Linked DNA regions of Mus musculus. The protein of the gene in region 1 interacts with the protein of each later gene in a pairwise test. Links are inferred from orthologs where the notes say so. Each region holds a gene or a part of one and is shown in the gene's direction. Other genes may lie near its edges.

The links. The genes of interacting proteins can lie anywhere in the genome.
Region 2: the proteins of Snrpa (region 1) and Rbm42 interact in a two-hybrid assay, tested with the Homo sapiens proteins (2 studies listed by BioGRID and IntAct). The link is inferred for Mus musculus from reciprocal best matches to the Homo sapiens genes SNRPA and RBM42.
Region 3: the proteins of Snrpa (region 1) and Trir interact in binary tests that used the Homo sapiens proteins (3 or more experiments, as listed by UniProt). The link is inferred for Mus musculus from reciprocal best matches to the Homo sapiens genes SNRPA and TRIR.

Annotation. Positions count from the first base shown.
Region 1 is NC_000073.6:27,189,889-27,193,271, reverse strand, and holds part of Snrpa (U1 small nuclear ribonucleoprotein A), read left to right. Parts: intron 1-229; coding exon 230-402; intron 403-1,491; coding exon 1,492-1,668; intron 1,669-3,383. UniProt on the Homo sapiens protein: Component of the spliceosomal U1 snRNP, which is essential for recognition of the pre-mRNA 5' splice-site and the subsequent assembly of the spliceosome. U1 snRNP is the first snRNP to interact with pre-mRNA.
Region 2 is NC_000073.6:30,647,429-30,651,484, reverse strand, and holds the start of Rbm42 (RNA-binding protein 42), read left to right. Parts: upstream 1-1,256; 5' UTR 1,257-1,407; coding exon 1,408-1,547; intron 1,548-1,765; coding exon 1,766-1,901; intron 1,902-3,669; coding exon 3,670-3,754; intron 3,755-3,850; coding exon 3,851-3,925; intron 3,926-4,056. UniProt on the Homo sapiens protein: Binds (via the RRM domain) to the 3'-untranslated region (UTR) of CDKN1A mRNA.
Region 3 is NC_000074.6:85,025,367-85,029,632, forward strand, and holds the start of Trir (telomerase RNA component interacting RNase), read left to right. Parts: upstream 1-1,466; 5' UTR 1,467-1,532; coding exon 1,533-1,868; intron 1,869-4,056; coding exon of another isoform or gene 4,057-4,143; exon of another isoform or gene 4,144-4,172; coding exon 4,173-4,250; exon of another isoform or gene 4,251-4,252; intron 4,253-4,266. UniProt on the Homo sapiens protein: Exoribonuclease that is part of the telomerase RNA 3' end processing complex and which has the ability to cleave all four unpaired RNA nucleotides from the 5' end or 3' end with higher efficiency for purine bases.

The DNA of each region.
Region 1 (3,383 bases):
AATCCCCAGCCAGGGTTTCTCAGTGTAGCCAATCCTGGCTGTCCAGGACTTGGTTTGTAGACCAGACTGGCCTCAGATTCTCAGGGATCTTACTGCCTCTGCCTTGCAAGTGCTGGGATTAAAGGTGTGCGCCACCATGCCTGGCTGGTCCACCTCTGAGGATAGTGCAAGTACCAGGACACAGTGTCCAGCCATTTGTCACAGTGTGTCTTGTCTTCCCTAAATGCAGAGCTCAAGAAGTCCCTGTATGCCATCTTCTCCCAGTTTGGCCAGATCCTGGATATCCTGGTGTCTCGGATCATGAAGATGAGGGGCCAGGCCTTCGTCATCTTCAAGGAGGTCACCAGCGCCACCAATGCCCTGCGCTCCATGCAGGGCTTCCCTTTCTACGACAAGCCCATGGTGAGTGTCTTGAGCGTGAAGTTTGTGTGTTTGTGTGCATGTGTATAGGCTGATGTGTTTGTGTGGGAGGAGACTGGGTGGCTATGGGCCTCCTGTGGCCTATGCTGGTCCCTAAGGATGCTACTTTTTTTTGTTGTTCCTTTCATCCTGTGTTCCTTATACGGGGGCTGTGGGGTCACAGACTGATCGAGTATCTGAGTGTGGTGGCTTATGAGGCTGAGGCAGGAGGATTGCCAAGAGTTTCAACCCAACCTGGACTGCAGAGTTGGAACCTGCCTAAAACACCACAGAACTATGGTGGAACCCAAGTGAAGAACGGATTCTGAGCAGCACTTGTCTTCCGTACCTACAGACATTCTATCACTGTAGCTGTTGCCTGGACTGCCCACCTCCACTGAAGCCTTGTTCTAACCACGCCTCTGCTTGCTTGTCCCTCACCCCCAAGTGCTCCTCCACACACCCAGCCCTGTCTCCGCAGCACAGCTTCTTCTGAGAGTGCTCGTCCCTCCTTACAGCTTCCTAGAATAGCACAAAGGGTCCCCCTTGTCCATGTGACCTTGCCTCCTCGCTCCTCTAATCCTCAGCACAGCTAGGCAGAAGTGCAGTCTAGGATCCCAGGCCCAGCTTTCTCATCCCTTCACTTTCTGGCTGTTCTCTTGCTAGGTGGATGCTCAGTGTCCACAGGATTCTCACCCCTTCCTTTTGTTTTTCCACTTTTCCTGACCATTGTATTTGAAAGGTTTACTTTGTAACATTCCTGGGACCTCAGGCCAGAGCTATATGGTGAGACCCTGTCTCAAAATGTTTAAGTATGTGTCTGAGCATGTGTTCTGGGTTCTTCCTAGGAGAGCTTGTAAGCGCCTATTCTAGCTTACAGTTACAGCTGCTTCCTATAGTCCAGCTATTGCTGCTTCCAATAAGTTTCTACAATAATCTGGCCAAGTGGAAAATATCCCCATTTTACAGACAAGGAAGTTGTCACCAATCAGTCTCTGATTTTTCTTAGCAAGCTCCTTTGATGTCTCATTTTGAACGCTAGCAGTTTTCCCTGATTTACATGCCCTGGGCCTTTTTGCTCTTGATTGGTAGCGCATCCAGTACGCAAAGACTGACTCGGACATCATTGCCAAGATGAAGGGCACCTATGTGGAGAGAGATCGCAAACGAGAGAAGAGGAAGCCCAAGAGTCAGGAGACACCTGCTGCCAAAAAGGCTGTTCAGGGTGGGGCAGCTGCGCCCGTGGTGGGGGCTGTCCAGCCCGTACCGGTAAGCAGGGTGCAGAAAAGTGTCCCACATGGCTTTGTGTGGGGTAGAGTGAGGGGATTGTCCCATTGTTGGGGGAGCCAGATGGATGGAGCAGGCCTCTCTCTCTCCTGCGTACCCTGGAGTGTTGGGAAGGTCTGTCTCCTAATTTTCTTTTTTGAGTTTGGTTTGGTTTTGTGTATCTTTACTTCAGTGTGTGTGTGTTTGCGAGTTCATGTTTGTGCATGCTCATGCTAAGTCCATGTCTTTATAGAAAGTAAAAATTTACCAGCCTACTATTGGAAATAGGCAAATTTCATTTAGAGAGACTAATGGATTATAAACTACAAAAATTGACGTAGCCTGTGGGAGACTGTACATCCAATCCGCAGTACTATGAGCAGGAGAAGGAATGAAGAGTTAGTTGTTTCCCTGCAGTAAGCTAAGCTATTACTACAGAAGTAAATAAATGCTTGGTAGGCTTCCTGTGGTGCCGTTGTAGGACGTGGGGCCTGCACAAGATCTAAGGCAGACCTGATCATGATGCTATCTGTGCTGGTAAAGTGCTTGCAAGCGAGCCAGGGGACCTGAGTTCAGTTATTGTGTCCCGTGGAAGGAGGAGGGAACCAACTCTGCCTTCAAGATGACCTGCTGTAGGCCTGTGGATAGAGAGAGATGTCTAATAAGGCATGGCAGAGTCCTTGTGTTGATGCAGGGCAGTTGGATCTACAGGAGAAAAGTTTAGCCCTGCCTAGGACTAGGTGTGGCTAGTTCACATAAGGTCCTGGGTTCAACCCCCAGCACCTGAAATGAAAGAAGGAAAATTTACCTTGTACTGTGTGTCAGCGTTGACGCGTGCCCTGGGAGGGTGGTATAGCACATATCTGCAGTCTAGCAACTGGGAGGTTGAGGTTATTCTGGCCCTCATTTTGAGAACTCAAGCTGACCCAATAAGACATGACATCCGCCGGGAAGTGGTGGCGCACACCTTTACTCCCAGCACTCGGGAGGCGGAGGCAGAGGCAGGCGGATTTCTGAGTTCGAGGACAGCCAGGGCTACACAGAGAAACCCTGTCTCAAAACACCAAAAAAAAAAGAAAGGAAGGAAAGAAAGAAGTGGCACGCCATTCTGCGATGGGCACCTGAAGCGCTGTGGGTAAAAGACAGCTGAATTGTGCCGCCTCCTGTCTTTGTCTCCTGGTCCTCGGGTTGTGTCACACTTTGCAGCTAGTGGTGGTAGCTGTGTGTCTTGTTTTGTCCTGCAGATCACTTCTGTTCTCAAACTTTCCATCTCTGATTTATTTTCATTTTTAAGTTACATTTTTGCTTAATTATGTGTGTTCACGAGTGTTCATGCCCATGGACATGAGTGGAGGTCAGAACTCGAAGCAATTCTCTTCCACCCTATTGGATCCTGGGCTTGAGCTCGGGTTATCAGGCTTACGGGCAGGTGCCTTTGCCTGCTAAACCACCTTGCTGGCTCTTTTTTTGTTTTGTTTTAATTTACATTTTAAAATGTTTATTTCTAATGCATGTGTATTTTAATATATACAGATGTATGTACCTGTGAGTATTTGTGACTGCATGCATGTGTGTGCCTCAGATCTCTTGGATCTGGAATTAGAAACAATTGTGGTTTGTCCTGTGTATGTTAGTCCTCTGAAAGAACAGTCTGAACCGCTGAGCCACCTCTCTTCTTTTTTTTTTTTTCTCTTCTTTTGTTTAAAGATGTAATTTTT
Region 2 (4,056 bases), about 3.5 Mb from region 1:
CTGTCTTCAGACACACCAGAAGAGGGCATTAGATCCCATTACAGATGGTTGGGAGTCACCATGTGGTTGCTGAGAATTGAACCCAGGTCCTCTGGAAGAGCATCTGGTACTCTTAACCGCTGAGCCATCTCTACAGCCCCAGATGCTGGTCTCTTTTGTTTGTTTGTTTGTTTGTTTTTTTCCAAGACAGGGTTTCTCTGTGTAGCCCTGGCTGTCCTGGAACTCACTCTGTAGACCAGGCTGGCCTCGAACTCAGAAATCCACCTGCCTCTGCCTCCCGAGTGCTGGGATTAAAGGCGTGCGCCACCACACCCGGCTCAGCTGGTCTCTTCTTAATCACCGCTAATTTCTTAGCTCCAGCTAACCAGCATCAATTGTCCCAGTAGTCTCTTCTCTTTTTCACTCTAAAGCCAGAGCCACATGCTGGAACATCACCCCACCCCCAACCCCATTCTATTACCAGCTTTCTGTTTTCCACCTCCCTCATTGCCTAAGCTTGGCTGTCCTGGAACTTGCTCTGTAGATTGACCTTAAATCCAGAGATCTGCATGGCTATCTCCTAAATTATGGGATTAAAGACATGTACCTCCACACTTCTCTCTAGATATCTCTAGTATAAAAGCCAATATTTGGGGGGCTGGAGAGATGGCTCAGCAGTTAAGAGCACTGACTGCTCTTCCAGAGGTCCTGAGTTCAATTCCCAGCAACAACATGGTGGCTTACAACCATCTGTAATGGGATCTGACACCCTCTTCTGGTGTGTCTGACAGCTACAGTGTAGTTAGATATAATAATAAATAAATCTTTTTTAAAAGCCAATATTTTGTTCTGTATCCATAATCCCAGCACTTGAAAGCCTATGTCAACCTAGGAAGTTCCATACCTGGGCTCAAAACCAAACCAAACCCCAAAATGAAAAAAAGAAAACCATGGAGGTAGTCAGTAAAATTAAATTTTATTCAAAAAAAGAATAATGAACTGACCCCTGGCAGTGTATCTGTCCACCGAGTGCAAAAGACTCCTACCCTGGCTTTGCAGTGTTTACAAACTTCTGGAAGGACCTCCGAACTTCCGTGCCTCCTCAAAGTTCCGGCTTCCACAGCGGGGTGGGTCAAAGTGACGTTGCTTCGCTCTCATTCGCCCACCTTTCTCTACGAGGGCGGGGCCTATCCGTACAGCCGCGTCTGTCAGATTAGAGGCCCTTCCGGGGCCCTGACTTTCCGACACTCTAATTGGCTTTTGCTCGCTCTGGGGGTGTGGCCAAGTCTCAGCCCCTGTTCTTAAACTACGTCCTCACGCAGCGCATCCGTCGCGGTAGTCCATACGTCATCGGCCGGCTCCCACCCTGAGACGACAGGGACTCGACCGTAGAACCCGCTGCGGCTGCTGGAAGGAGCGGTGAAGGCTATGGCATCAGCGATGGCCGGAGCAGGGCCGGCTCCGGGACTCCCGGTGGCGGGAGGGCCGGTGGTCCCGGGGCCTGGTGTCGGCATCCCGGGCAAGAGCGGCGAGGAACGCTTGAAAGAAATGGAGGCGGAGATGGCCCTGTAAGGCCCTGAGTAGGAGAAATAAAAGCTGTTCCCGGGCAAACCCAATTAACCCTGTAGCCTCCAGGTCTTCAGAAGGTTGAGATGTGGTTCCATAAGGGGCCGTGGGACCCGAGGGATGCGGGGAGGCATTAGCTGGGATGAAGGCGCGGTGGAGAAGTACCCAGCACCTCAGGCTTGGTGAGACCTGACCTATGGTATCTGTCCCGCTCCCCCAGGTTTGAGCAAGAAGTATTGGGAGCTCCGGTGACCGGAATCCCAACTGCTGTGCCTGCGGTGCCCACGGTAGAAGCGATGCAGGTCCCCCCAGCTCCTGTGATCCGCCCAATTATCGCCACCAACACATACCAACAGGTAAGGTGAGAGCTACAGCTTGAGTCGGGAGAACAGAATGGTTTGGTCCCAATAAGGGCTTATCTATGGACAGCGATTGATGTTTTGGCTGGCATGACCACTTAAGTGCCAGGGACTCAGGATGCAAGACAGTATATTTAATCCATTGGAAACTAATATTCTACAGTGCCTGTCCGGTAGAACTTTCTGCAGTGTTAGATTATTCTATATAAACATCTCTTGAGCCAGGCATGGTGGCGCACACCTTTAATCCCAGCACTCGGGAGGCAGAGGCAGGTGGATTTCTGAGTTCGAGGCCAGTCTGGTCTACAGAGTGAGTTCCAGGACAGCCAGGGCTATACAGAGAAACCCTGTCTCGAAAAACAAACAAAAAAAAAAATCTCTTGAAAGTTTTTATTCACAGATTTGGGGTGTAGTTCAGTGGTAGAGCACTTAGCCTGGCAGAGTCCTATTTTCTAAGCCCACTACCACCACAAAAAAACCAAAACAATATTAAAATGTATATCTGTGTTGTCATTCCCAAGACTCATGGATAATATTCCAGGTGCTTAATAGTCAGCTGTAAGAAAGAAGCCGAGGAAAGAAGGAAACAGGGGGGAACTATTTAGAGGAACACCAGCAGAGAAAACGTGTTTATTCTGTTCACAGTTATTAGGTGGGCTGGGATGCAGCTTAGTAATAATCTCATGCCTGGCATGTCAAAGCCGTGGGTTCAATCCCTTGCATTGTGGAGGGAACAAAAAAGATCAAAGGCACTCTTGTGCCTTCTCAGCACTAGGCACTGTTCTAAGCAAGGGGTGTATAGGAGAAAACAAAACAGAAAAGTTCCCGTTGTTTCTTTGACCTTACAAAGTGGTAAGAGTTTTATTAGCAGTCAGGGAAGGCCTTTTTGATCTGGTATTAGTAAAGCAAAGATATAAATGAGATGACTGAACCATGCAGATGTCTGGAGTGATGTTATCCCAGGCAAAAAGTTGTCCATGCAAAGACTGAGACAGCATTGTCTTGTTCATGCAACAGCAGAGAGGTCAGTGGCTAGAGAGGAGCAAACAAAAGGGAAAATGGAGAAGATTAAAACAGTGATGGAAGCTAGATCTAGCAGGGTCTTCTGAGCCACTTTAAGATGAAATGAGGAACTACTAGAGAATTCTAAGGTGGGTGGTAATGGTCCAACTTATAGGTTAAGCATGTAGCTTTGGCTGTCTTGATAATATACTAGAGAGAGCAAGGGTGAGTTCAAGGAGATGGAGAAAGAGGCTAATAATCTAGGTAAGGTAGAGGTAGACAACAGGGAGAACAGGTCGAACATTAGTTAAGATAGTGTGGGGTCTGCAGCCTCACTCTGAACATACCTGCTCTCAGAAATCACAGGGCCCTGGTTAGTCCTTGGATGGGAGATAGTGCTGTAGGGAACTGAGTCAGAAAAGTTGATCCTGGGAGATATTAATAATAAAAGCTTAAGCTATTAAGTGGTGGTGGCACATGCCTTTAATCCCAGCACTTGGAAGTCAGAGGCAGATCTTTGTGAGTCTGAGGTCAGCCTGATCTACAGATGGAGTCACAGGACAGCCAGGGTTACACAGAGAAACCCTGTCTTGAAAAACAAACAAAAACAACAAAAATAGCTTTATTTAGTATGGCGACAGAAGCCCCAGTGAAGAGACCTTGTAGCAGACTCTGACTGGTCACCAGACCCATAAAATAAAGGGTAAAAGTATTAACCTGCCAGGGGAGCCAGCATCTCTGAGCCACAACTCCTCCCCAATAGGTCCAACAGACTCTGGAGGCCAGGGCAGCTGCTGCAGCCACAGTTGTTCCTCCCATGGTGGGAGGCCCTCCTTTTGTGGGCCCAGGTAAGTGACAAAATGAGGGGTCCTGTTTCAGGCAGGGTGGTAAAAGGGGGTGCCCAAAGGTTGCCTCCCACCATCCTCATCTCTTCCTCCCCACAGTTGGCTTTGGCCCTGCCGATCGTGGTCACCTGGACAGTCCTGAGGCTCGAGAGGCCATGTTCCTGAGGCGAGCAGGTAGGTTGGGGACCAAGACCTCACTTTTGGCCAGGCACACTTGTCTGGGTTCAAGAACTCTGGCTCTGCCCTGCTGCAGATCCCTATCTCCATCCTGATACTGTCTTCACTCAGTACATCCCTGACCATGT
Region 3 (4,266 bases), on another chromosome or scaffold:
ATTTTACTCCTGCATTGACATTTGGAGATAATGAGCGCTATCTTTTCACCATTTTATGAGTCAAGGGCTCACCTTTGTGAACTTTTGTCTGTAGTTTTCTAAGGATTCCCCTGTCTCGCGGACATATTGGTATGACCCAGACTACTGCTCTTCACTGATTGGGCCCTGAGTCTTGCGGCACTCTTTTCATTGGATGAATCTTGTCTTACTTCCACTAGTCACGCTCAAGTCCCTGCAGGCGTCAACCTCTCCTTAGCAACCAGGCAAACATCCTGGCCAAGCTTTTTGCGTGAAGTTAGAGCAGAGGTAGCTCTTGATTCCATAGGCTCAGTTTCCTGATTATCATTTCCCCCTTACTTTCTGTGTTGGACCTCAACATCTCTTCCGGTCCTCCAGTTACCCAGTTGGTTGTGAGCCACATGGTTTCTGTCGCAAACCAATTACGAACGAACTGGTTATTTGGCTGAGGGTCGATTAAAAGACTCCATTTGCTGCAGAGTATGCAGACTTTCCCCCTGTGTTCCCGGAACTCCCATGTTGGGCAGGAATGATTCCTGCAACAAGTCGTCCTTGTAGAAAGAACTTTAATTTCTGAAACTCTTATTGCGCTTGGCACTCTGCTTTCTCTCTGGGTGTGCTCCAAGTTCAGCAAATGCAATTTTAATCGAGTCCCTGTCCTTGGGAAAGAATACAAGGGTCCTTAGTCCCTTCATGCAGTACGCAGCTCAAAACATTAAGTCTTAGGTTCTCAGCCTGGAAATACGTTCGGCTTCATTTTAGTGCTCCAGCCTCTTTAAATACTAATCTCAGGCAGTGTCTAGCTGCACGCAGCCAGCGGTTTTCTTTCTTTCTTTCTTTCTTTTTGGTTTTTCGAGACAGGGTTTCTTTGTGTAGCCCTGGCTGTCCTGGAACTCACTTTGTAGACCAGGCTGGCCTCGAACTCAGAAATCCGCCTGCCTCTGCCTCCTGAGTGCTGGGATTAAAGGCGTGCGCCACCACGCCCCGCTGCCAGCGGTATTTTTATTTCAAGCTAAGAGATTAACTTCAGAGACAGATGTCAAACCTGGAGATGCTTCCATTCTAATAGGAGGTATCAAGTTAGATATGCTTTGTAGACCTAGTTAGGGGCCACACAAGTTCCCAAGGGACAATTGAAAACACAGGCTCCAAACAAGATCCGTTCAGTTACAGAGTTCTGGTGGCTGCCTGGGATTGTTCTCTTAGCCCTTACAGGGGGCCTGGGTCCCAAACGATGGTCCCATTCTCGGGGAGCTTCTGGCTGCTTAGCTAACTCGTATCTAGCAGGATTAGGGAACCGAGGACCAGAAGGAAAGGGACCGGCTTCTGGGCTCCATCGCCTGGTGGCCAGGTCAGAACCCTTTGGCCCCACCTAAGCTCCGCCCACTCTGCGTTGGCTTCTGGGTTCCGACCTCTCTTCCCAGCATGCATTGCTCCAGACGAAGCCAGTCCCGCGCCAAGCGCGCGGTCTGAGAGCCTTTCCCGACGTCCTTTGCACGGCATCTGGCCACAAAATGGCTGCCCGAGGGAGACGGGCGGAGCCTCCGGGTCGGGAGGCGCCCGGCCCGGCGGGCAGCGGCAGGAGCCGATGGGCTGAGTCGGGACCGGGAACGTCACCCGAGAGTGGGGACGACGAGGTGTCGGGCTCGAGTCCGGTGTCCAGCGGTGTGAACTTGTTTGCCAACGATGGCAGCTTCCTGGAGCTGTTCAAGCGGAAGATGGAGGAGGAGCAGCGGCAGCGGCAGGAGGAGCCACCCCCGGGCCCGCAGCGACCCGATCCACCGGCCTCCGCCGCGGCGGGCCCAGGGAATCCGAAGAGGAAGGGCGGCCCAGGCCCCACGCTCAGCTTCGTAAGGAGCCGCGGGGGTGGGGGCGGGCGCCGGGGCCCGCGTTGGCTGGGGGAGTCGGGCCCGGGAAGGGGCGTCATGGTCCAAGGCAGTCCTCCGCCCGGCTGCCTGGACGGTCCCGGTCGCTTGCTGAGAATCTCGAGCCTGGATTCCGGACCAGAGGTGTTTCTGGGCGGGAATGGGAATCCTTAGATCTCATTCGTGGGACCTGAGAACCGGGAAATTGCATTGGAAGCAGCGCTCTGGGGTTAGGGGGCCCTAGATGCTAGGATTCCCGTTTGATTTGTACCCAGACTTTGAATAGTGAGGCCCACATATAATGTGGGGGAAAAAGAGGAGACACATTTAAATCCCGAGTCTGCTGTAATCGTTAGACTCGACTCGGACCACGGACCGTAGCCGGGCGTGGTGGTACACGCCTTGTATTACAAGCACTCCGGATGCAAGAAGAGGAGAATTCGAAAAAGTGAGACCTTGTCCCAACTAAACAAAACCAACCAACCAATAACAAAAAGCAAATCACCGACTTTGTGGCCTTAGCAAGATCAATCGATTCCTTTCTTTATTATTTAACTAATGTCCATTTATTTAGCACCTTATCTTGTGCTGAGTATTTATTGGTGGTGTCTTTGACAGAAAAGAACGTTGTTTGTTTGGAGTGTGGGTGGCCTATCCTGATTTTCTGTAGTTCTAATAATTGAGATTTTGATGTATTTCATGAAGTGGTCCTAGGAAAGTCAGAACAGACTCTTAAAGAACAAGACCAGTGGTTCTCTACTGGGAGCAAGTCTCTTCATCCTCATGTATTTGGTAAAGTCTGTAGACATTTTGGTTGTCAAACTCTTAAGAGGAGATGCTAGTGACATCTATAGGTAGATAGCAGGGATGCTCTTCTGTATCCTATAACGCAAGGGATAACAAAGAATGATCTAGCTGAAAATGTCAAGTGTCATGTTGAGGAGCCTCGGGTTAAATAAGTTGGACATATACTCTGTTAGTTTTGAGCTTGCTTTGTCTCTGATGTTGAGACCTTGTAGTGGGGAGGAAGAAATGTTGGTTTGAGAATAACAGACTGTGGGTCAAATCTTGGATCCAGTTCTGTGGTTTGGGGTAAGGCTTAAGTTTGTTTAGGTCTTAAAAGGGGGTGTGTGTGAGCCTCCAAAGTGGCACATACATGGAATCCTAGCACTGTGGTGCTTGAGGCAGGAGGATTGCAGAGTCTGAACAAAGGTTACATTGTTTCTAAAAACAACACAGTGTGTGTGTGTGTGTGTGTGTGTGTGTGTGTGTGTGTGTGTGTGTGTCCAGTAGTGTGTGCCTGTAGTATCAGCTACTCAGGAGCTGAGAAAGGATCTGACGTGAAAGGATCTGACGTCCAGAATGAGTTCAGAGCCAGCCTGAGCAACTTAGTGAGACCCCGTCTCAGAAACGAGATCTGGGGATTTAACTCAGCAGAAGATCGCTTTGAATGCATGGGATCCTAGATTCCACCTGCAGTATTGCACAAAAGCGATTGTGGGAATAGTCCAGCAGTCACTGCCTAGTTAAAGGGTAAGAACAGGATAATCTCTTGAAGGCCCCCAGTTAAAGGGAGAACATGGGGCCAGGGTGAAAACCCAGAGCCAGACTGTTCTTAGAGGAAGTGGAAAGTAACAGGGCCTGGGTTGATGTGACAGTCCAGGAATAGGAGCAACAGTGGTGTCACTGCCTCTTTGACTTATTCCTGAGTAGCCATTGTCATTATATTCCTAAAAACGCCAGGCCAGCTCAGGGTAGGAGAATGAGGGATGCTTTGTGGTTCAGGGTGCTCCCGCTGGCCTTGCACATCTGATCCTGAGTCTGTTGTTGGCAGCCTGTCCTATTTCTCCCAGAAACTTGTCTTTATTTCTAAAAGGAGATAGTTATTACCTTCAAATAGCATAACTGTGAATATGAGAGGAGATACCACGGTCACAGCGCTCTGTGTGGTCTGTAGGGCTCAATAGATAGTGAAGCTCAATAAAGGAAGCTGTGTGGTCCCTGACAGGACAGTGTGAGGCCTGGCAGAAAGAGTGAGGACAGAGCCAGTTCCCAGCAAGGTCAGCACTCCTCTGCCCCCCCTGGGAGGGTAGCCTGGGGCCCAGGACTGCCTGGGCATGGCAGCCCAGGGCAGGTGCTGAGTCGAGTGTGCTCCTCTCTGATTGCTGCGCAGGTCGGCCGGCTGGAGGAGCTGGGCGAGGCGTCGCTAGGAAGGTGTAGTGGGCCTCAGCACCGCCAAGGGCGGGCCCGGCTCCTGTAACCCTTGCAGTCTTCTGTCCCTTCACCCAGGTGGGCAAGCGCAGAGGCGGGAACAAACTAGCCCTCAAGACGGGAATAGTAGCCAAGAAGCAGAAGACGGAGGATGAGGTGAGTGGGCTGCCCA